3 linked regions of the Alligator mississippiensis genome follow. The protein of the gene in region 2 purifies or fractionates together with the protein of the main gene of each other region. This does not show direct contact. Links are inferred from orthologs where the notes say so. Each region holds a gene or a part of one and is shown on either strand. Other genes may lie near its edges.

Region 1 (7,286 bases), on a different chromosome or scaffold from region 2:
TGTGATGAAAGCTTTCCTTATACCCAGCTCTGTTGCATCAAGGTTGAATTTCCGAGGATTTGCTTCAACAATGCGTTAATGACAAGTCAAGGAAACACTACTGAACCAGTAGTCAGCATTCAGGCAAATATCCTGGCTACCTGAAAGGATACTACTACCTAAGTGCTATAATTAATAAAGTTAACTGGACCAAGATTTGGTTAGTTAGGAAAATCATGCATCTGATGCTTAACAGTCCTTGCATCCTGCCATTGTGTACCAATGTAAAGAGCCCGCTGGAATTTTTTGGCTTGCCTGACTGGCACAGCATAGCACTATCAGAAATTGTTAATTTTAATCCTTTTTCAACTCTCTTTTCTGGAGCTCAGTGTAACAGAGGACTGACTGCCTCCAGTTAAAATTCATCCCACAGAAGGAACCTTTTAGAACAGGGCATCTTACTTTTAACTATATGTTACTGATCAAGAAGGAGAGAGGACATATAAAAAAAAAAGGTTACTTTGAGGAAAAGCTGGCATGTCACTGACTCCACTGTCTAAACCAGTGGTTCTGAACCTTTTTTGCATTAGGATCCATTTGTAAACATTGATGGCCAGTCCCAACCCAGTGCCCCTCAATCCTGACCGAATGCCCTGCCGTTCCAGCCCCCAGTGTGTGGGGCAGGGGAGGGCCCATGCAGCCCCTCACAGGCTGGAACTCTGCCAGCTTGCAAGGGAAAAGTCACCATTTCCCAAGTTGTTCTCCTTTAAAGGATAATCCATTTTTAAAGTTTGTTGATCCATTTTTGTTTGAAACCCCTTCATATATTATTTTGGGTCACAATCTATAGGTTGAATAATTCTGGTCTAAACCATACAATGATATCTTATGAAAACAGCAGCTTCTGAAAGAACTTTATAGCATACAACGCATATTTTCCAAGAAACTGAATTACTCTTTAAAAGCCAGCCTCATCCTTCAGGTAGAAATAACACAAGGCTGTATCTAAACTGTAACAGGTCCATATAAAGGATATTAATAGTTTCATCCAAGTCTTCCAGGTCCCATTCAATGCTCCGCAGGTTGTTCCTGAGCTCATTAGTTGTCCAGTCAATTTCTTCTCTTGTGGCTATAGAAGGGTCTTGCAGGAGCTCCGTCCATCTCTGAAACAACCCCTGAGCAGTATTCACTGCTTTTTGGACCTCCCTGAAATCAAGATGATTAACAAAAATACTAATGACTCAACTACACAGAAAAACATTGTAGTACAGCTCTAACAGAATCATTCCACTACTGCTGTAACAGACTGATTCTCCATGTAGACAAGTGGTGTTTTTCACTGTTTTGGCTTTAAAGTTATTTGCATTAATGACCTCCTCTCAAGCATCCTCCCTTCAACCTGCTTGATTTTCTCTTTAAACTAATCACATAAGCAGAGAAAAGTTGGGCTAGAAGGGACCTCAAGGGTCATCTAGTCCAATCCCTTGCTCAAGGCAGGATTCCCCACAAACACTGGTTACTAGATAATCAGTATCTTGTCTTGTCTTCTACCCCAATAGAAACTGTGACAGAATTTCATAACAGAAAGACAGTGACAGTTATGGAAAGGATCTACCTCTTTCACCTATTGCTGTTATTAAAAAGAGAACTTTAACATTTCCCAGACAATTGCACTGCTTTTTCAGTACTCTTCTGTGGATGGAGGAACCCATGCTACTCTTTAACAAACAGACATTTTGCATTTCTATAGCATCTTTCATTCCAGAACCAACAAGGACGAGGGCAATCCTGGCATGTTTCATACTGTAATTTCCTATGCACATTCTCCACTACAACATGTTGCTACTTCCTAATCATGGACCATAAGAATTGCAGGAACTGTCCCTACAGAATTTCTGCATGAACCAACTGTGTCCAGCTTGGATCTGCTTATTTCATTTTTCTTTTTTGTAATTTACAGTACTTATTGAGCTATGTTTGCTTAATAAACTCAACTGCTTTACTGCTCCAACAAGTGTCATAGAAAAGTGTTTCAGATGTTAGCATGAGAATGCATGCTGCTGAAAGCACTGAACATTATAGTTATTCTCTGGGATCAGAGGGCAAATAGCAAATATCTACCCATAAACATATGATTATCTGCATAAGTAAATACTGCTGTCTTATTCCCAGGGAATATCCTTTCAAATGAATGGAAAGTTGGGATGTAACACTTATACACAAGAGGCATGTTAGCAAGCTTTTCAGGTCTTATGATCAGCTGTAAAAAGCTTGCCCCACGTTTAAGGGTTGCACATAACGTGCAGATCTGTTCAAAGATGTGGGGACTTCTGTTCTTTGACAGATAGGGGTTGGACTTCACTAATAAAAGCTTAGAGTTGATCAGCTGTGTCCTCAGCTTGTGGCCATGAAGGGGATGAACGTGGGCCAGTTAGAAGGACTGTGTCCCGCTTTGGGGTACCCCAGCCTGAAGCCCTCAGTTTTCTGTCAAGGGCAGGTCTTGTTTCCTGTGCTATGTTATCTTTCCTCCCTCCTCTTTGTCGGTGCTTCTCAAACTACACGAGAGCAGAAAATACAGTAAGGTTGTTCTTAGGATCCTAGGAAATTAAGAGCTGGAAGGACCTCACCAGGCCGTCCAGCCCTGCCCCAGCTCGCGGCAGGCCGGCTCCTGGCCAGCCCCTTCCAGGCAGCATCGGAGGACGGAAACTCGCTGCCTGGGCCCGCTCTGCCCCTCCCACTCCCTCAGGGACACCATGGAGCCGGCTCCAGCCCGGCACGGGGAGCGCGGCCGGGTGGGAGCTGCTCCAGCCGCTGCCAGGGCCGGTAACCTGCTCACGGCCCGCCCAGCCCCTGCTGCGGGCTCCCCCACCCGGTAGCCCGCGGGGCGCTGGAACCTCGCCCGCCGCCCCCGGGCCCCGCCCCGCACAGGCAGCCCTGAGCCGGGAGCGCCCGCCCCGCCCCCGCGGGGGCCTCCAGCCCCGGCCGCGCTCACCCCTTCACCACGAAGAACGGGTCCTCCATGGACATAGCGGCGCGGCGCGGCCCGACCCGGACCTAGCCCCGGCTTCCGCGCCCAGCCGGACTAAGCCCAGCCCCACCCGCCCCACCCCGGCCGCAGTCACGTGACGTAAGAGCACCGCCCCGCCCCGCCCCGCCCCGCCCCGGCGCTGGGGGGAGGGGAGCCCGTTCCTGTCGTCACGTGACAGTAACAGGCACAACCCCGTCAATCCCCGCGGGAGCGCGGTGTGCACTTGTGCCTGCTGCTGTCACGTGACAGGTACAAGCCCAGCCCCCGCCGGGGGACGCGGTGTGCGCGTGTGCTTGCTGACGGAAGTACTGCGCAGGCGCTGCAGCCCCTTCCTCTCCGCCGTGACGGCTATGCCCGCGCCCTGCCTGGCTCGGCCAATCACAGACTTCGCGGCCGCTCGGTGGTTGGAAGTTGACGCGGGCGGGCGGGCTGCGCGGCTTGGCTGGGCTGGTGGAGCTGTTCCAGTTTGGGGCCTCCGGTCCCGCGAAGCAGGAGGGTAGGCGGTGTTCCCGGGTGTACGACCATTACCGATTTGTACAATAACTTCGACCCTTGCACGGTGTCCGGCCAATGACAGTAAAAGTGCCCAAAACCTACCATTTACTTTTCATTCCATCCAGGAAGAGCGCACACCAACTGCTGAAACTTCCTTAGCCTGACAAAGGGTTTTTGAACCCAAAATCTTGCTTAATACATATTCTCCAACTATTTGAGTTGGTCTAATAAAAGATATCAAATTCACCCAAGGACCCTTGTCTGCCCAAAACCTACCATAATTTTTAAGCAACTGATTGCTGCATCACTTGCAAACCCCAAATTGTTTCCAGAGGGCTTTAGCTAGGTTTTGGGTTTGCTGTCAGTGCTTTTCTATGCCTACTGACCTTGAAAGAAATGAATCAACTTTAAGATCCAATTCTCACTTGCTCACTGGCAAGTTACAGTGAGCAGTACAAGGTAAATAAGACTTACTGGCAGACTTATTTGCATATTTTTTCAGTGTAGGGCAGCTTTTCAGCAAATATGATAATTTTGAGCTTCCAATACAATAATTTAAGACTCGAGTGCCGTGAGGTGACGTGTTGTTCCCGGCCGCCTGGGGCCTGAGGAAGAAGGAAATCTCCTCTCACTTAAGGGCCAGCAAGTCACAGCGCCCGCGGGACCCTTCATACTGTTCTTTTATTTCCTCTGTCAGAAAACACAGAAAACAAGCTGCCATTTTCCAAGAGCCGCCTTGAGTCTAGTGATGGGCACCTTGAATCTAAATACAGTTGAGAGCCACTGATAGGAAGGGAGGATACTCTCGTGGGGGGAGCAGGGGGGCAGGGAGCAGATGCATGCATGGGTATGGGTGAAGCATGTGGGGCACAATTTGAGACCTTGGGCAGGGACCCCTGAACCGGCCAAATAATGTGACTGCACTTTTGCTCTGTCGTGCCAGATGTCCCAGCTGATAGTGCTTTAAAGTAGGAAGCCTGTTTGGCAAGGCGACTTGCTCGCCGTGGGAAATCTGTGGAGCAGTTTTGCAATCTGGAACAGGATAATCGTGAATGTTGAGGGAAAAGCCATTGCGGATTGCGAAACCAGGGAATCAAATTCAGTGAGAGAGCCTCTTTAACGATAGGCTTTGGATTTTAAATAAAACGCCCCCTTTAATTGGGATGATGTAGTCACACGTCGGAGTCCTTTGTTGCATGTTCCCATGGCTTGAGTCATCCGTAGGCAGATGGAGAGGCATGCTCTGTCCAGAGTTCTTCGCTCTCAAGAAGAAGGACACTTCTTTGTGAAAACAGAGGGTGTCTGAGAGGACAAATGGAAGGGACACAAGGGAAGCAGAATGGGGAACCTGTCTCAGGCTCTTCTGCCCTTCCTGTCCTCGTCCAACCTGCAAAAGAAAACACTGGGGTCTGTCCCAAAGACTACTACTGATTCCCGTCTTTTCCAGGCTCCCCTGTCACCTTAAAGTTTCACAGTCCCATTCTGTTTGAATTCTACCTCCCTTTACAATCTCCCTGCCCAAGCAGCTGCCAGTTTCAGTGAAGACAACTGCCTGTGTAGTTTCCACCACCTTTTCTGCCCTATCTGTACGTAGGGTGGCCATCATAGAGGACAGTCCGGTTGTCTAGACTAAGTAGCAGAAAACAGAGTAGCAGAAAACTGGAATGTCCTCTATGATGGCCACCCTACCTGTACATCTACACCAGTGTTGTTGCCTACTTACATCCGGCTGTTCCTCCAGTAACTTTAGGCCTTTGCTCTTCTACTTTAAAAGTACTGAAAGGCTAGGGAGACCTGTCTGCTGGGGTCTGACCACAGTTTTGGTTGAAGGAAGAAAGTTAACCTTTTTCATGAGAAAGAGATATATGTGGCTTTGAATTGTTGAGCACTTTCTCATTCTTCATTTCTTTCTGGGAAAACTGTTGGCACAAAAGCTCTCCCCAGCTGGGAGTCAGTTTCTCCATCTGAGAATGAAGCCTTTATTTCAATTGAAATGTTCCCGCAATACCTGCACAAAACCAGTAACAGTTACTCCACATTCCTCTTCTCCTTTTCTGGAAGCAACAATAGAGGCTCCTATGTCTTTTATTTGGTAACAGGTGTAACTAAATACTTCCATGTTCAAGTGCCAACTGTTTTTCAGGTGCCAGCATGATCTGAAGAAGCAAAATTTCTCGATGTGTTGCATTTCATTTGTATACTATAAATTGGTTCATGCAGTTGTGTACTGAGTAATTTTGCTACCTTCCAGGAAAACACTGGTTCAGAAGTGCAGAGATCAGTAGCTTTATCAGTGAGACCTGTTGCACATTTTTGTGGTAGCCAGTTGGTAGTTCTAGGCTGGTAGTAGCAGTTTGGTGTCTTCAGAAATTTTGCTGGTGAGTCAGCTTAGTTTGAACTTGTTAATTACGAAGACAGTTTGCTGACATGTAAATGTATTTCTACACAAATGCTGTATTTTAAGAACATCTTGTTAAAGGTTATCATATTTGGACTTATTCAAGCAACTGCAAAAGTCCTAACAAAAGTGATTTATGGTGCTTTGCTGTCAGTATTGTGGAGTAGTGCAATTCATCTCACTCAAGTGTGGGATCTCATTCAACATTATCTGGATCAAGAGTGAATTAAACAGAGAACAAGTCAATTCAAATAGTAGCTTGTAATAGTAATTTATGGAGATTAGAAGTTCCTTAATAAAGTACATTAACCTTTTTTTAGCAGAGTTGTAGTGGTACTGTAGTCATGGCAGTCATGGTAGTCCAGGGAATATGCAAGTAACAAGTTTTGTTTGGTAATTTTTTTTTACCGGATAACTTTATAGTTGAGAGAGAATTCTTTTCTCAAGTCATTCTAGGAAAAAGTTTAAACAAGTTGGAAAATTGCAAAGATCTCTATTGAATAGCTGAGAATTTTCAAAATTCACAGCAAGGAGGTGGTTCTTTTTTTTTAAGCTGAAAGCTAATTTAATATAAATGATATTTAAAATCAAAATATCACACTATCAAAAAACCAAGCTCTTTTGACTTTCTAGGATGGGTGTGGTCTTGTCTCAGTTCCTGAATGAAAGTTTTGATTTCACTTTGCAGTGCTGCAGATTGCTCCAGTATGTTCCTCCCCTGGCCTGCCAAAAATTTCTGGTAGAGGAGAGTCTTTGTAGGCTGCATCCCACTGTAGAGCCCACTGGGAACTATTCAGTGAAAAATATTTGATTTGTTGAAGCCATACCAGTTTTGACAAAATGTTCATCAAGAAAGAGTTCTTACTGTGCCTGTACACACATGCATGTACCTGTCATCCCAGAAGAGCCATCGCCTTCTGAGCAGGATCCTCTTCTGGAATGTAGGAGCCCCATCTTCAGGTCCCTGCTCTTCTACTCCCCTTCACCCTAGGTTAGTACCCCCAACCACTTTCTCTAAAATCTAAATCTCTCCTGTGGGAGCCAGAAACAGTCCCCATAGTCCAGTCATTAGAATACTTGCCTGGAATGTGAGAGACTGACTCTTCTGTGGTGTGTGAAGGTCTTTATCTTTTTCTCCTCAAGAAATGGTAGAGGGCCTTGGTTTCACTTCTATGCAGAACAGAAAAACCCAGAATATTTTGAAATCCTGAAAATTTCATAGATTCATAGATGTTAGGGTCGGAAGGGACCTCATTAGATCATCGAGTCTGACCCCCTGCATAAGCAGGAAAGAGTGCTGGGTCTAGATGACCCCAGCTAGATACTCATCTAACCTCCTCTTGAAGACCCCCAGGGTAGGGGAGAGCACCACCTCCCTTGGGAGCC
Region 2 (8,073 bases):
CAAAAAGGAGAAAAACGTGGGAAACCTTGGCTTTTCCCTTGCAGAGTTCCAACCTGATGCCCATGCCTCCCACACAACCTGCCCTGCCCCACACACAGGGGCCTGGCGCTTGGCCATCAATGTTTACAAATGGTTTCTGGTACAAAAAAGGTTGAGAACCACTAGTCTAAACAATACCTCCTGATGGGTGTGCCTACAGGTATGACTGACAGATGCAGCCTGTGTTTATAGAGAAGGGTTCCCATTAGAAAATAAGGACAGCAAATAGAAAACCAACATGATCTAATTGCTCCAGTCACAGAGTGGAAGCCAGGGCCTCCCAAAGGGTAAAACTCAGCAAGTTTTTATGGCCTCAGGTGTGCCATAACTACCCATGTCTCAGTTTCCCTTCCGGCAAAGTAAAGAACCCTTCCTCAAAGAAATGCACAATGAATCAGCAAATTGATGTCTGGACAGATCTGAAGTTAAAAATGCCAAGTATTACTACAAGTTCAATCACCTATTTTCAACTGACAACAGAGGGCCTAGGCCTTGGTCCTTCATGACCAGTACACATGAGCAGGAGGCTCAACTCCTGCATGAACTGAAGTTAGAAGAATTCTGCTTTTGTTAGAAAAAAAAACCTCAGTCCTCTGCTCATATCCATATGGGTAATACGAGGTGTTAAAATCCCTTCCCCCATGCCAGCTACTGTCCCTTATCTAAACAGACAGGACAGCTGAGACAACACAAAAAAACCACACACACTACTCTGCACCCTCCCAGGCTTCACTTATTCATTTCCTGAACACACTGCACAGAGTAGAGAGCTTGAAGAATAGGCACTGGTAATGCCATCTCTTCCGGGTAACACGTTAATGTGCTCAGCTTCACATGTGTCCAGTCAAGGTTTGCTGCTGGGAAAGCCAATAACTTGCGTCAAGAGTCCTCTCCCAGTTGGCTGGTATCCAATCATTACACAAGGATTTTACACACGTTGCTAGCTGCTGTTGCTGCCTCAAAACGCACTAGTGAAGACCATCGCTCATGGTGCTCAAGTTTAGAAACAAGAGCTCCATTAAGAATGTCTTTGCGCCACTTGCCAGCCCCTGTTGAAGAACACCTCAGGCCAAAGAGCTGCCTCAGCAGCAGGCAGCCCTAGGGCAGGCCCTCTCCCTTGGTCCTGATAAGCCTTCCTAAGGAGCTGCTTGGTCCTCAAAAGCAGCGTTTATCAACCTATGAGTCATGACCCAAAAGTCAGTCACAAGAATATATGAAAGGGTCACCAACAAGTTCTAAAATTGGATTGTCCTTTAAAGGAAAGACACATGGGAAACGGTGGCTTTTCCCTTGCAGGCTGGCAGAGCTCCAGCTTGTGGGGCATGGAGGGCTCCCAGGCAGCCCTTTACACCTCCCATTGTGCCCCACATACAGAGCCATCCCTTGGGTAGGGCGAATCAGGGCAACCGCCCTGACCCCCATGCTTTGGGGGGCTCTGTAGAGCTGGGCAGAGCAACCACACGTCTCCCGTAGGGCCTGCCTGGAGCTGGTGGCTCAGCCCCCTGCCGCAGAAGAAGCATCTGGCCACTACCCACCAACCCCCAACCCTCCCTGCAGACTCCTCCTCTGCTGAAAAGCGGCTTGTCCCAGGCGCTCTGGATTTGCTTGGCCCCAGCGCCAAGTTTAATTGCTATGGCACTGCTGTGCCCTACCTTTGCAGGGGTCCAACAGCCCCGCACAGGCTGATTTGCCCCGGGGCCCGCATCCCCCTAGGGTTGGCTGTGCCCACACATGGAGATGGAGGCAGGGGGGTGGGAGTGAGGGGCACCAGCCATTGGCATTTAAAAAAAAAGAAGTTGGGAACTGCTGCTCAAGAGCGCAGAGAGAAACACTGGCCCGAGCAGGCTTGGGATCCCTGGTATCACGTCCCCTGGAGCCTGCTCCCGAAGGCAACACCAGAGAGGTTACAGACCCGAGGGGACCCGGCAGCCCCTCTCCTGTGGCGGCGGAGGAGCAGGTGTGGGCGCAGCAGCGCTCCCACCACGGCGGAGGCACAGGAGGCCGCTCGGCTTCTCCAGTACACGGGACGGGGGGCGCGCCGCAGGGGCCAGCAGCCCGCACGGGCCCCGGGACGGCTCGACCCGTTCACAGCCCGCGCAAAAGCACCGCAGCAGGGGCCGGCGGAACCGCAACCGACCCCCGCCCAAGCCCAGAGGCTGTTGCTCGCCCGAGGCAGCGTGACCCGCCACCTCCGCGCCTCCTCCCCCCGGCGGAGCAGGCGGGAAGGCAAACCCCGGTCCCGGTCCCGGCTCCACCGACAACAGGCACCTCTCACCTACCGCTGCCGCCCTCGAGGCTGGGCCGTAAGTGAAAGTACCGCCACTGCCACCGCTTTAACAGCCCATCGCTCGCCGCACCGAGTCGCAGACCGCCGCTGCCGGAAGCGGAAACCCCGCCCACTCGGAGGAGCCGCACTCAACATGGTGGGCAGGGAGGGGCACCATCCTGGGCGGGGCCTATCGCGGCAGGCGGAACCGCCCCAAAGCCACACCCGATATAGCGCCCAGCCCTCTGTACTTGCGCTCTAGCTACTCGATTTGCTGTTTTGCCTGGTCTGTAACGAGCGGCTCTACGCTGCATCAGGACGTTTTTCTGGAAGGCTTTTCTGTGTGTCCCAGGGATCCCTGGCCCAACTTTCTTCAGCCCCTACCTCCCTGGCAGGCTGTGAGGAGCGCGTGACCCGGGAGACCACCAGTCAGTCGCTTTCGGGAGCGCCCTTCAGCTGTGCGCGGCTCCTGCGGTCCTCGAGCCCCTCCCAATGCTCCCCAGAGTAAGGCGCCAGTGTCCCCATGCAGCCGGCTGCCCGCAGGCGGGGATGATCTTGTGGCGCTTCCCAGGCCCAGCACAAGGAGAACCTGATCGGAGCTGAACGGCGTGAGTTCCCACCCCGAGAAGAGCTCGGCCATTCGTGCTATGAGGATGCGCCCCCGGTTGCTCCTGCAATACCTCTTGTTTCCCTCCCTCCCCTTTCGCGCAGGATCGTTGCACGTGGCACAGCTCAAGAAGTCCCGCCCGGAGCTGCCCTGGGCGCGTTGTCCCGGAGACCCGCTTGCTGGCGGTAACGCCCTGTGGGCGGGTCACCTCTGCCTCCCGGCCGTCCCCGATCGAGTACGCAGCCTGTCGCCGGGACTACAATTCCTAGCGGGCGCTGGGGTATCCCGGCAGGCAGAGCGCCGCCGCCGCGGCCGATTGGCTGAGCGAATGGGGGCCTTTCCTCGCGCCGCGCCGCGGTTCCCTTTTGGGTCGGCGCCGCCACCGCGCGGCGGGGAGACGCCGGTTGGGGACCGCGCCGGGTGATGGCGGCCTGGGCCGCCGCTCTGCTGTGGGACGAGGAGGACGCGGCCTGTGAGTCTGGCGGGAATGGGGCCAGGGCTGTGGGCGCGGGGTCCGGCTGGGCTCCGTCCTGGGGAAAGCGGGGGTTTTGGCTTCGCGGGGCGCCTGCCCCAGCGCCCCCTGAGGAAGCTTCGTACCCGGCGGCCCTCCCTGCCTGCTGTGCGGGCGGCTAGGGAGGAGATCCCCACACATGCCTCGCCTCGCTTTTTCTGTAAGGCAGGGGTGGTCCCTGTGGCACAGGGGCACGGGCAGCGCGTGTGTGGCACGCGGGTCGCTGGGGGACCACGGGCCACACCGCACCCGGTGTGCGGGGGTGGAGCCGCGAGCCAGGCAGGGAACACAGGATGGGGAGAGCAGAAGGCAGAGCAGTGGGTTGGGCATAGGAGGGGATTGGAGCAGCACTTGGGAAAGATGCAGGACTTATTTGTGGTATGCCTGCCAGAAAGTTGACCATCACTGGTCTAAGCCATCACAGCTACAGCTGTACTTTGTCACACCAACATCTTAACCTAAAAAAGCACATGCCACAGAAAACAAGAATGAGACCTGCTCTGTTGATGCAAAGGTTAGTTAAATAGCAATGTTACATGCAGCAAGCACTTCCTCATGCTTTCTGGAGAAGGTGTAAAGTAAGTTTGCAGATTGCAAGGTGCGGATGTGTTCTGAGGAGCGTATCAAAGGAAATGAGCATGGAGGAATAGTATGTTATGTTGGGAAAGTGTTTCTGGGGTTATTCTTGGACCTCCCTTACTAGTCAAGTCTGTTATTTCTCCATTCATTACTTTATGTAGGGAGAAATTGGCTGCAACAGATGAGATGGTAACTTATTCTCCATAGCCTATTTGCTGATTAGCCTTTGGTACTGGTAAGAAGTGTGAAAGACAACAGCTTTAGCATCATCTCTTCCCCCTCCATATGTACGGTATTGTTAAATCAATGGTCTGTCCTGAAGCTTCCAGAATACTGTTTAACTTCATAGTTCCCATTTTGCTTGTGAAGCAATATGTGCGTAGGAGGTGCCATCAACCTGTACCTTGATTTATGCAATATTTAGAATAATAGAATAATATTTAGCATTTCTTGTGTTTAAGCTGTTTACAAATATAAATTCTTCCAACATTCCTACAGAGTAGGTAAATAGACTTAAACTGAGTCAGTTCTTGCTGGCCTTATTTTTTTTATTAAAAGTTTGTCTCTACAGGATTGGGACTTGGGGATTGGGGCATATTTGAATTAATTAAGATTCCTTTAATCATTAAGTGGTTGCATGTTTCTGCAATGGATTTGCCACTAGGGGGTGATACAGACTTTTTTTTCTTGCTTGCCTGTTGCCTTGCTTAGGACTAGTTATTGAAAGCAATAGAAGAAAACATAGACTACAAAAAAGTATGTTTTATTTAAAACATTACAGGTGGCATGTGTATTTTTGCTCATATACAAGATCATGCTGAATTACATAACTATTTGTAGCTACAGGTGATGAGATTTTTTTTTTCTTTTATCCTTTCAAACTGGTGCTGAAAAGCCTACTACCATAGATAAGAGTCTGTTTTCAGATAAAATGGAAGAGACACCAGATAGCTATCATGTGCATCATTAGGCTAATATCATCATTTACCTTTCTGTTCTTTTCTTGGTATTGAAAAGTTACTGTGCCCCATCTATACTAGTAATTAAAATATTCTTCAGTCTAGCTAAGAGAAAATCAGAGGCTTGTTTTTGAAAACATAAGAAGCTGGGACCTTTATTAAAGCAGGAAACCACTGCAGAGATAACAGGTATGAGAAGTTGGCTAGCTGTTGTCCTCACAAGGTGAGGAGAAAATAGTCCCTTTAGGCCCCAATTCATTAGGGTGCTTCTGAATGTACTTAACTTTTATTTGAATGCAGGACAAGGTGGTACCTTATAGATTTACTTGTTCATAGAGTTTTTGTTGGCTACAACATCCTTGTCAGATACTATGAATGGACTTGCATGCTGTCTACCTTGCAGCGGAATCAAAAAAACCTGCTCCTTAAAGTGGAGTGGCGCATGTGGTGGCAGCATGTGCCCCCCAAAACCAGATCTTGGCCTTCTGGAACCATTCTCTGGCTGCCAGCCAGGTTCCCAGCTGCAGGAGCACCACAGCTGTGACTCCTCAAGGGCCGCAAGTAAGGCTGCTGGAATCCTCCCCTACCCTACCTGACATAACCTGCCGCAAGCCAGAGGGCACATAGCATAGGTTTATCTCAGGCAGCACAAGGTGTGCTGCTGCTTCTTGTCCTCAGGCAAACAAATGTCCACCCAGTGAGCAGGGGTGTGCGGGCCGGGAGCGGTCCGAGATTCTCGGGGGTGCGCGGCGCGGGCTGTGGCCAGCAGCCCTGGCACGCGGGTTGGGGAGTGCAGGCCGGCAGACTAGAATTAGGCACGGACGCTTAGCGGTTGATTAAAGATTATTTTACTTACACCAAAGATGGTCGTGGTGCAGGCAGGAAAACTTGCTTGAGTTGCAGTTACAGACAGAAAAGAAGAAAAGCGGACGAGAGTTCCTTCCACGCGAACCTCTAGCCCAATCCGGTTGAAGGCTCTAAACACGCAAGCCCATCGTGTCAACCGAAGAAAACAACTCGGAGAAAGAGCTCTGGATACACTCACACGAAGTTTGCTAGGCTCCGTGGAACTTGCGCGCAGGGAAGGGGTTCGTTGAGGGATCGTTCGGCGACGGGGAGAGGCCAGAGGTTGATCAGACCCCTATAGCCTTCTCAAGGTATACGCTGGGTCCGATAGGCTCCGCAGCGTTTAGAGATCTTCACGAGACATGAAGTTCTCCTTCTCCTGATAGTTGTGGAGTCCTCCAACTTGGGCGGAAACCGCTCAAGCCGCTTATACGGCTAGCAAGCCAATCACTAGCCGTCACGTGGGAATAATTTAGAACTGGCCAATAGTGGGACACAAATTTGCATGCGGGTGGCAGGAACTCCTTTGCACCGTGCATTTCTCTTTGCAACTAAGAAATGCACCCTGCAAAGAAAGCTCCTCGTGGTGGGAAATAATTTAGCAGTGCCGAAGCGCACACAAACAAAATCACACCCTTGGGTTGTGACAAGGGGTACCAAATAGAAAGGAAGAAAGTCATTTAAATACAAGAGATAAGGAAAGGGGAGCAGAGAAGAGAACACTGCTGAGTGAGGGAAAAGTGGATTGAAGAGGGTTGAAACGGTTAAACAAAGCTTTTAACCCACTGAGGGACGTAGGGGTTATATAAAGATAGTCTAGATCATGGGATAAGAATTTAGAGTCTATATTAAGCTATGCATAACACAGTCCAGCTTGTGGATGATTTCTTGTTCTTCAGTTTAAATGTTTGAGCTTGCTGGTGTAGATGCATATAAGCTATAGCATGTACTGCATCATGTGTGGCTTATTGACCAAAGGTAATAGAAAAAATGATGTGGTTTTTTTTTTTCTTTGACAGGGCTGAGATGGAACCTGTAGATGCAGTACATCTCCATATTACTAAAGCCTTTGACATTGTCCCACATTGCATTCCCATAAGCAAACTAGGGAAGTGTGGTCTAGATCAACATGACTTGTCAAACATGACTTGCAGCCTGGATTTGGCATGCCAGACCATTCTATCTGGTAACCTGTCATGCTACCACAAGTTGGGAGGTGTGCCCTGTTACAGAATTCATAGTCCCTGAACCCTGATGGACATGGCATCAGTGGCAGGTCCTGGCCCTTTGCCATCTTCCAAATATGGATCCTTTGTAATTGTTGCTGGTCATGCAGATACAGCCTGAGGAGCCCCTGCAATCTGGGTCCAGCCTGCAGCCTGAAGTGAATTTGTCACCCTTGGTCTAGGCAAAATTGCCATAAAGATTGGGCAAAAGAAATCTCGTGAGGTTCAACAAGGACAAGTGCCAAAGTCCTGCACTTAGAATGGAAGAATCCCACACACTGCTACAGGCTTGGGACCAAATGGCTAAATAGCAGCTTTGCAAAAAAGGACCTGGTGGTTACAGTGGACAGTACGCTGGATATGAGTCAACAGTGTGCCCTTGTTGCCAAAAAGGCTAACAGAATACTGGGCTACATTAATGAGGCAAACACAGATCATCCAGATGTGGCCTCATCACTGCCAAACAGAGGGGAAAAATCACTTTCCTCAATTAGCTGGCCACACAAATCATGACATTTTTTTGTGATAAATTTAAAGTATGTTATAGTAGGTGTTTGAGTTTTAGCGTATGTTTTTTTTTTTGTTTTTTTTTTCTGGTTCCAAGATGATCGTCAGCCAGCCAGCTGCCACTCCCCCACAAAAAAAAAAAAAAAAAAAAAGTGTTTCCAAGAGGGCAAGGGGAGGACTTCTGGTGGCAAAGGTCAGAGGTTAGAGCACAGGACATCCAGTCTCAACATGTTGACCATGGAGCAAGGCAACTGTCAAGGTGTGGTACTATCCATGAAGCCCTCAACAGCTCACCAAAACTCATTAAGCGGCCCTCTGGCCGAAATAATTGCCCGCCCCTGAGCTAGACTGTTCTTATTGGTGGCAAATAACAGGCAAGGAGCAACAGTCTCAAGTTGTAGTAAGGAAAGTTTAGGTTAAATATTAGAAAGAACTTTTTCATGGGGAGGGTAGTAAAGCACTGGAACAAGATACCCAGAGAGGTTGTGGAATCTCCGTCCTTGGAAGTTTTTGAGACCTGGCTAGACAAAGCC
Region 3 (7,676 bases), on a different chromosome or scaffold from region 2:
CCCACTGCCTGGCAACACCACAGAGGTAGGAGTGGTAGGGGGTTAAACACAAATTTAAGATGACCCTCCAATAACTAGAGTCTATACATAGACGATTAAACCAATTTATAAAAAGTGTCCATATAGAATCTAGGTCAGCGGTAGGCAACCCCCAGCACGGGTGCCAGAGTGTGGCACGTGAAGGTATTTTGCTTGACACTCATACCATGGGGTGGATGGTGGGGAAGGGCCCAGGGCTGCACTGCTACAACAACGTACAAGTCAAAGTTGGGGGTGTTTCTGGCACTCTGCCCAAAAGTTGTCAACCCCTGAATTATAAGGGGGGGGGGGGAGGGGGTAAAAAGAGTAGTAATCTTAAATTCAGATTCATCTTGGAGTCAGGTAATTACAATAACTACAAGTTTCAATGTCTTTTCAGCTCCTGAAAGGGGAGACTCATCCTCTCTCAGAAGCCAAGCTCACCAATGTCTTTTTAATGTCCAAGTCTCGCAGAGTTAGTGCACAGAGCAAGTGAACCAAGGGTCACTTACTAATATAGGAAATATAGGAACAAGTTGCTTGCAACAAATGAAGAAACAGTACATGAGACTAAGGGCAAGAACAAACATGAAGAGATGCTGACCCTTCGTTAACATACCCAGGCAGACAAATTTAATTTTGACCACATTACATTTTAGCTGCATCTCCCTCCACCCACCACCTCCCCTGGGGTCTCCTGATGTCAGCAGACCAGGAGAAGTGCAGGTGAAGACTGTACCTCATCTACTTGATGCTGTGTTTGCTGAAGACGACGATTACTGCCAGAGGCAGCGCTTGAGCTTCCAGTGCCACTTGCCGACCTGCAGAGATAGTTGTAGTTATTTTATACTGCATCCCTAACTGGGACACAAGACTTCCAGACAGATTTTGTATGCAAGTCACAGAAAATGGCTCAGCAACCAGTCCCCATTCTCAGTAGGATGAAGAGACAGAAATGCAGTTATTGCCACAGTCCTTCAGTGGGATTCTTGCAACTGCCCACAAGAATAAAGCCTCATCCACCTGCTCTAAAGCAGGGATTGTGGGTAGCCTTCCTGCCACTTTCAAGCATCCCAAAAAACAAAGAACCAGAAAGCAGCAGGGTAAGGCACACCTGAGCTTCCTTGCTTCAGCTCCAGTTCTGGAGTGAGAGAAATAGAAACCGATGGCCAGTAAGTAAACCCTGGCAATAGCAGCCTCAATAGCAGCCTAGAGGCAATACAGACATTCCCTCAGACCACAGTCTCTCATAAGTTAGTAGTCTTTAAGCAGCAAAGAAGTGAAGTTAGCTACGGGCAGAGTTCCTAAGTCTTTATCACTAGTGCATGGCTGTAGAAGCAGCAGAGGGCAAGCAGAGGCAAACTAATACAACAGCCAAGAAAGAAATAAGAGATAAACAATAGCTCACATTGCTATCAAATGCCAAGAACTGCAACCCATCAATATTTTTCTCCCTTTTGAAATAAGGGCACATGAATTCAGGCACATTTTATTATTTGAACTTGGAAGTTCAATAGCTGTCAACAGAAATTCAGATCAACTTGTGGAAAAAGAGATGGTTTCAAGTAATTATGTCCATGCAGCATCTCCTGCTATTTAATAATTTTCCTAGGTCACTAGGAAAAGAAAGCCAATTCAGTATTCAGTGCTAGATATTTCAGAAGACAAGAAGCTTCATAAACAGTTACAAAGCTTCTCTGAACCCAGTTTTTTCCCCAGAGCCTCAGGTAGCAAGTGACTGTGTTATTTCCTTCTACAACTTTAAAACTTGAAAGTTTATAAAACACAGCAGGCATTTCCTCTCTCTCTCTCATATCCTTCCTAAGTTAGGGGAAGTTCTTCACTCATCTGCTCAACTTTTATACCTCTTTTATGAACACCAGGTGCCTATACTTCAGTGCAGAGGCTGCTCTGACATTCTGCAATTACAGTGTAGCAAACTCCACTAATGGAATCTGGAGTGCTAATTACCACACTCCAACAGCCAGCTTGCATCTGGTATATCATGTCCCAGCACTTCAAAATAGTGGTAAGGGCACTTTATTTTCAAACACACCCCACTGCCATTTTGAAGCACAGGGATGCTGATACACCAGACCCTTCAGGTACTTTAATTAGAGCCCCTCTAATTAAACTCCCCCCACCCCTGGAGCAGGTGTATAGAGTGCACTGTGCTTAGTATTCTGGTTTCCTCTGTTCCGGATCCAAGCACACCATTACATTCCCCTTAGCCAATATCAACAGGTGGCAGTACTCAAGCAATTAACTTTTTCTAGGAGTCTTGAAAGCAATATCTGCAGTTAGAAGCGACTGAACTACCCCCGACTTAGAAGTGAATTCCCACTGGGCTGTGCGTGGAAGGAAAGGGGAAGGCTCAGGCCCCTTGTCAGATCTCTAGGGGAATCCTCCCGGAGAGCTGGATCCCAGCACTGACAGGACTGGTGCCACCTTTTTGAGTATGGAAGATTAGCCCCAGCACCTTAAATCTTTCACGCAAACTGGACGCCTCTTAAACAGAAAGAAGGCTGCCGTGGCTCCCGCTGAGCTCGGGGCACTTCGGGCGGGTGCGAGAGCCCCTGGCAACGCTCTTACACGCAAGGAGCCACCGCGGCCGAGGCCCACGCTCGCCGCCCCCAGCTCCGGGCCCGGCCCCTCAGGACCAGCCAGTCTCGAGGAGCCTCTTGCGGGCGGGCGGGCGTCACGGGAAGGGACGAGCGGCTCCGCGCCCCGCCCCGCCCCGCCCCGCCCCGCCCAACCCAGAGTTCGGTCGCGGGGACGTCGCTATCAGCCCCCACCAGGCCCCAAGGAGCGCGACAGGCAGGGCCTAGTGCCGCCCCCCAGCCCGCCCGCCCGCCCAGAAGAAACCCAAGGACAGCGCCAGCTCCCGGCCCAGGACACGCAACGACCAAGCCGGGTCCCCACGGCTCCTCCCCTGCCCCGGACTCACATGCTGGCGGGCGGGCGAGCGGCCTCCTGCTAACCTCACGGGCGGCCCAGGGAGCAGCACCAAGCCGGAAGCAGTGCGCAGGCTGGGCAACGGCAGGATATGACGTCTGGGGAGGAGCCTCTTCAGCCCACGCCACGGCCTGTGGGAGGGGCCTGGCCTGGGCCGCCGTCGCCCGGGGCGGGGTCGCGGGCCGGGGGGGGCCGGGCCGGAGGGGGAGCAGCAAGGCTGAGCTCGCAGTCAGTCCGGCGCCGCCCGCGCTACCTGGGGCGACCCGAGCCTGCCGTGCCGCGGCGCGCGGGCCATGTCCGTGTGGGCAGCCGCCCCGCCGTCACCCTTGCTGCAGAGCGGGCGGCCCAGCCGGCCGGCGCGGCACGGAGCGGGGGCCAGAACCCGGCAGCCGACGTGCTCGTCCCGGCTGAAGGGCCTGGGCTCCAGCGCGCCCGTAGCGGCTGGGCCTGGCTCAGGAGGAGACTCGCACCCCCATCCGGCACACCCCGCCTGTCCGCCGAGGGCGCGAGGGTCGGTTGCCGGGCGCAGCCCCACCTGGATGTTAGTGAGGTGAAAGGTTCAAAAGTGCCTCGGGTCTGTAGGGAGCCTGCACCCCCTCCCCCTACCTAGCTGAGGGCTTGTCCTGTCAGTAATGGCTGGCGAGACACTGCCGTGTTAGTCTGAAGTCAAGTAGAAGGCAGGATAGTGATGACGGTGCCAGCTTGGGTGGGGGGGTGTGAACTCCAGCACTTTTGTGTTACTGTGTGGGGCTAGCTGGCAGGCAGCCTCTGCACTGTAGCACCCTCGTGCCTCAGCCAGCCCAGGCCACCATCTACATGTGTGTTCTGGCATATGCAACTACTCCACTGTAGGATAGTATTTGTCTCAGACAGTACTACCCTACAGCAGAGTTAATTAGTTTACTGCACTCTAATAAGAGGAGCACAGGTAGATGGTGATGCTTTACTGCAGAACTAATTAGTTAGCTCTGCGGTGAAGTGCACATGTAGAAGCACCAAGGGGTCATCCAATGTGGTCTTGCAGCTGTCTACATTTAAGTGTAGGGAAACCTGAAATCGCAGTGTCTTGGCCCGGTACAACAATCTACCTTGGCAGGCTTAGTTGTCTGGGATCTCTGCATAGTCTGTGAGGACACAGGGACTGCCGAGGTGTAATCTGGTTTGACCAGATATGCATGTTTGAATCATTTGACTCAGGACCAGCACACCTTCTGGATTATTTATGCTATAAAAGCAAAAAGGGTTATTTCCATTACTGAGGTCTGATGTAATGTAATTTCCCAATATTTCCAATAGGAGAGGTACTGACTTTTGTTTGCAGAAAGTTAAAAATTGCTAAATGAAATATATATTTTATTATTATATATTTCCATTACAATAGATTCTAAAGGCCTTAATCAGGACTGGAGCCATCTAAGTGCTGGTCAAATATTTCTTGATACTTTCTTAAGCTCCTCCTGTTCCATTTTATTCTGTTAACATCATTCATACATCTATAATCTTCCTGGATGTAGGGTTCAGTTGCTCCTTCCTGCAGGGAAGTGTCATTAATATTGTGCAATAGAAACATGAGCACTTGTACCCTGGTTTGCATTGGAAAGTGCACACTGTGAGTAGCACATCTCAGTCTGGAGAGACAGTGACTGTCATGCCTGGAAACTGGGCCAAATTCATCCCTGAAGGCATGGATCAAACCCATCAACATTTGATCAGTTTTCAGTTGTTTTCCTTAGAAATTATTCTGCCATCTCATACAGCATCATGATCTCTAGTATCTGACAGACACTAGTCTCTGAGCCTGGCTCAGAATTTATCTCCCCTGACTGTTGGCTTCAGGGGAGTTACAGCAGGGATGAATTTGCCCCCACATATTTTAAATACAGTGAGGTTTCTAGGGGTTGTAGCCATGTTGCTAAATGTTGCCATGAGACACATACAGAAAGGGAGACCAGCGTCCAGGACGGCAAAACCCATTTCCTTTCTGCTGTAAAAGCTGATTTAACAGTCAAAAGACAAACTTTTACCCCATAGCAAAGGGAACCAAAAAATGGAGGAAGGAGCCTTATCCAGCCTGTCCCACTACTGCCTAACTAGGAAGTGAGGTGTGAGGACCATGCATTCTCCCTGAATCTTTTATGGCAGTGCCCAACACCAGGCTGAGCATCTTTGGGCTGACCTGAGATCTTAGAAAGATGTGGCAGGCAGTGCACTTCTGAGTAATTACCTGGAACTCTTGGGGGCATCAGAAGCCAGTTGAAAGTCCAGTAAGTTTAATACTTAAGAAGTGTCCTGAAATGTGCTGGTCTACATACCGGATGGAGGGTACACATTACAATCCAGAAGAAAGACAGATCAAGAGATTTTAAGGATCACATTCTCTCAGATGTGAGTGCTTGGACCCACTCAGTGCAGTCAAACCTGCATATCCACTACACAGCAGGATTTGGGTCTATGATAGTTTAAAAAAAAAATCAAAAAAGACAGCTGCGTTTGAAATCCAGCCAGTCAAGAACCTGAGTGATGTTTGCAAATAGGTCATGTGACAGACTTGCTTTTTAAAAGGCTAACTATAGTTACTCAAGGAAGATGCAGCTCCTTGGTTAAAATGGAAGGTTAAAAAACACACACTTAGTATGGGGAAATTTTCTTTGTTTTTAATTTACAGCAGAAAGAATATAAAGCATTCAGAAAACATTTTCCATATTTTAAGGGCAATTCAAAACATTTTGCATGGTTCCAGCAGCTGAGTTCTTCAACAGATCCATTGATTCAGTGATGCTTTACATGCACAGTTACAAAAATAAAACTTACAAAAGAGAGACATCTATACTAGTTTTACATGCAAGTTTTGGGGACTCCCCATCGGGCGCCAACTACTGTGTGGAACTGCTGTAAGCGTGCAACCATAGAGGGGGTTCATGTTATATTCTGTATTTCTTTCACACAGTATTACTGTTTTCAGATGTGTTACATGAAGGAGCAATTCCACTTGCAGGAGACAGAAGATCCTGCTCCTGGCACTTGGGAATCCTGATTTTCCCAGAAAGCTGCACTATCATCTATTAAAATATGAGTTCCACAATCAAGAAAAGGGTGAATAGAATCACTTCACTTCAGTGGGACAGTGTATTTAACTCACCAGTGGTCACTGATACACTGAAGACTTATGACCTGACACGGCAAAGCACTTAAGGATATACTTAACTTTAAGCATGTGAATACTCCTATGGAAGCTAACAGAATTGCTTACATGCTTGATATTAAGCACGTACTTATGTGTTTGGCTGAAGCAGGGCCTCTGTCAGTAGATACATCACAAGGCCCATGGATTTGAAATAGCTCTGTATATTACTGACTCTGTCGGCATGTCTACATGTGCAGTTAATGCTATTTGGCTATTCTGTGCAGTAAATTTACAGCGCGGTAAACTAATTTACTTCACAGTAAGCGGTGACGCTTTACTGCACGGTAGATTAGCCTGTTGCACATTAAATCATCTCGTGTAGACACGGTTTCTCAGTACAAACGCAAGGGGTTAAATACTGCCACTGAGGTCATTACTCTTTCTTGTTAGGAAAAGATCAATTATATGTGCCATAATACTGGCAAATGGGACAAACACATTCAAAGTGTCAGAGTTCTTCCAGTACTAATACAGAGCATTCCAGAAGGAGTTTCTTTTTTCCATTTCCTGTTCCCATTTTTTGTGTGTGGAATACATAATGTGTATTCCAATTCAATAAAATAAATTGAAGTTAAAAGGCTGCCACAGCCACAATGTGGCAGCCAGACAATTTCTCTTATTGAATCAGATCATAAAGCAGCAGTTCACAAATGTACAGAGTGTTCTGATCATGAGCTATAGCACATACACTGTAATTCAATGCTGGCAGTGAAAAGAAGTAATTAAAAACAGGTACAATTATAGAAAAGGCACCAAGAGCACTGACCCCAGTTTTTTTGCCACAACCTTTGTCTTTACTTTTCTTTTAAAGACACCAGTTTAAAAGTTTATAATCTGTGATATTTTTAGGCTTCACAACAAGCCTTGCAATTACATATTTCAGTTGGTGGCCTGGATCAAGTAAGAACAACTATTCTAAAACTAACCATCTAAAATTTACACCAATCATTTGGAAATTTTAAACTGGCACTAGCAAAATAAACACACAGGAGCAGTTTCTGATGTTAGCTACACCTGTGTAAACCCAGAGTAACTGTGCCAATTTCAGGGGTATTACTCCTGATACGTCCCAGTGCAATTAAGATCAGAATCTTGCCCATCCTGTTTAAACTTTACGACAGTTTTACATTAGTATTTCACTTTTTAAAATATCTGATTTCTTTGGCTCCTCACTATGTGGAAATAGCAATATACCATGACACCCCTACAAGATCAGTTTGCATCTTTTAAGTTTTTACTTATTTTTATTTTTTTTTATTTTTGTGCAATTTTTATTACATTTTCTGACTTCCAGCAGGAGATATGAAAATGTGAAACATATTTTCTACTTTCATACTATTTCTTTTTTTTCAGTTTATGTTCATTCTAAGTGTTCTTTATTGGAGTGAGTGTATGGTGTTAAGCTAGATACGATTTTGTATTCTTATGATTATCTGCTTTGCGAAAGTAACTTAATTTTTTTAAGCAATATTAGCATTCACATTACTTGGCACCATTGGCAAAAGAAATACAGAAAGAA

The links.
Region 1: the proteins of SNAP23 (region 2) and STX6 purify together in Homo sapiens (affinity purification with mass spectrometry; 3 studies listed by BioGRID and IntAct, with this or other methods). This does not show direct contact. The link is inferred for Alligator mississippiensis from reciprocal best matches to the Homo sapiens genes SNAP23 and STX6.
Region 3: the proteins of SNAP23 (region 2) and VAMP3 purify together in Homo sapiens (affinity purification with western blotting; 6 studies listed by BioGRID and IntAct, with this or other methods). This does not show direct contact. The link is inferred for Alligator mississippiensis from reciprocal best matches to the Homo sapiens genes SNAP23 and VAMP3.

What each region holds. Positions count from the first base shown.
Region 1 is NC_081828.1:52,539,766-52,547,051, forward strand, and holds the start of STX6 (syntaxin-6), read right to left. Parts: upstream 3,081-7,286; 5' UTR 3,007-3,080; coding exon 2,972-3,006; intron 1,186-2,971; coding exon 1,016-1,185; intron 75-1,015; coding exon 1-74. Other genes in the region: uncharacterized protein LOC132250811, read left to right, coding at 3,358-3,503. UniProt on the Homo sapiens protein: SNARE promoting movement of transport vesicles to target membranes. Targets endosomes to the trans-Golgi network, and may therefore function in retrograde trafficking.
Region 2 is NC_081825.1:237,543,990-237,552,062, forward strand, and holds the start of SNAP23 (synaptosomal-associated protein 23), read right to left. Parts: upstream 3,075-8,073; 5' UTR 2,986-3,074; intron 2,781-2,985; exon of another isoform or gene 2,690-2,780; intron 2,443-2,689; exon of another isoform or gene 2,315-2,442; intron 1-2,314. UniProt on the Homo sapiens protein: Essential component of the high affinity receptor for the general membrane fusion machinery and an important regulator of transport vesicle docking and fusion.
Region 3 is NC_081836.1:20,082,162-20,089,837, reverse strand, and holds the start of VAMP3 (vesicle-associated membrane protein 3), read right to left. Parts: upstream 3,074-7,676; 5' UTR 2,968-3,073; coding exon 2,966-2,967; intron 840-2,965; coding exon 758-839; intron 1-757. UniProt on the Homo sapiens protein: SNARE involved in vesicular transport from the late endosomes to the trans-Golgi network.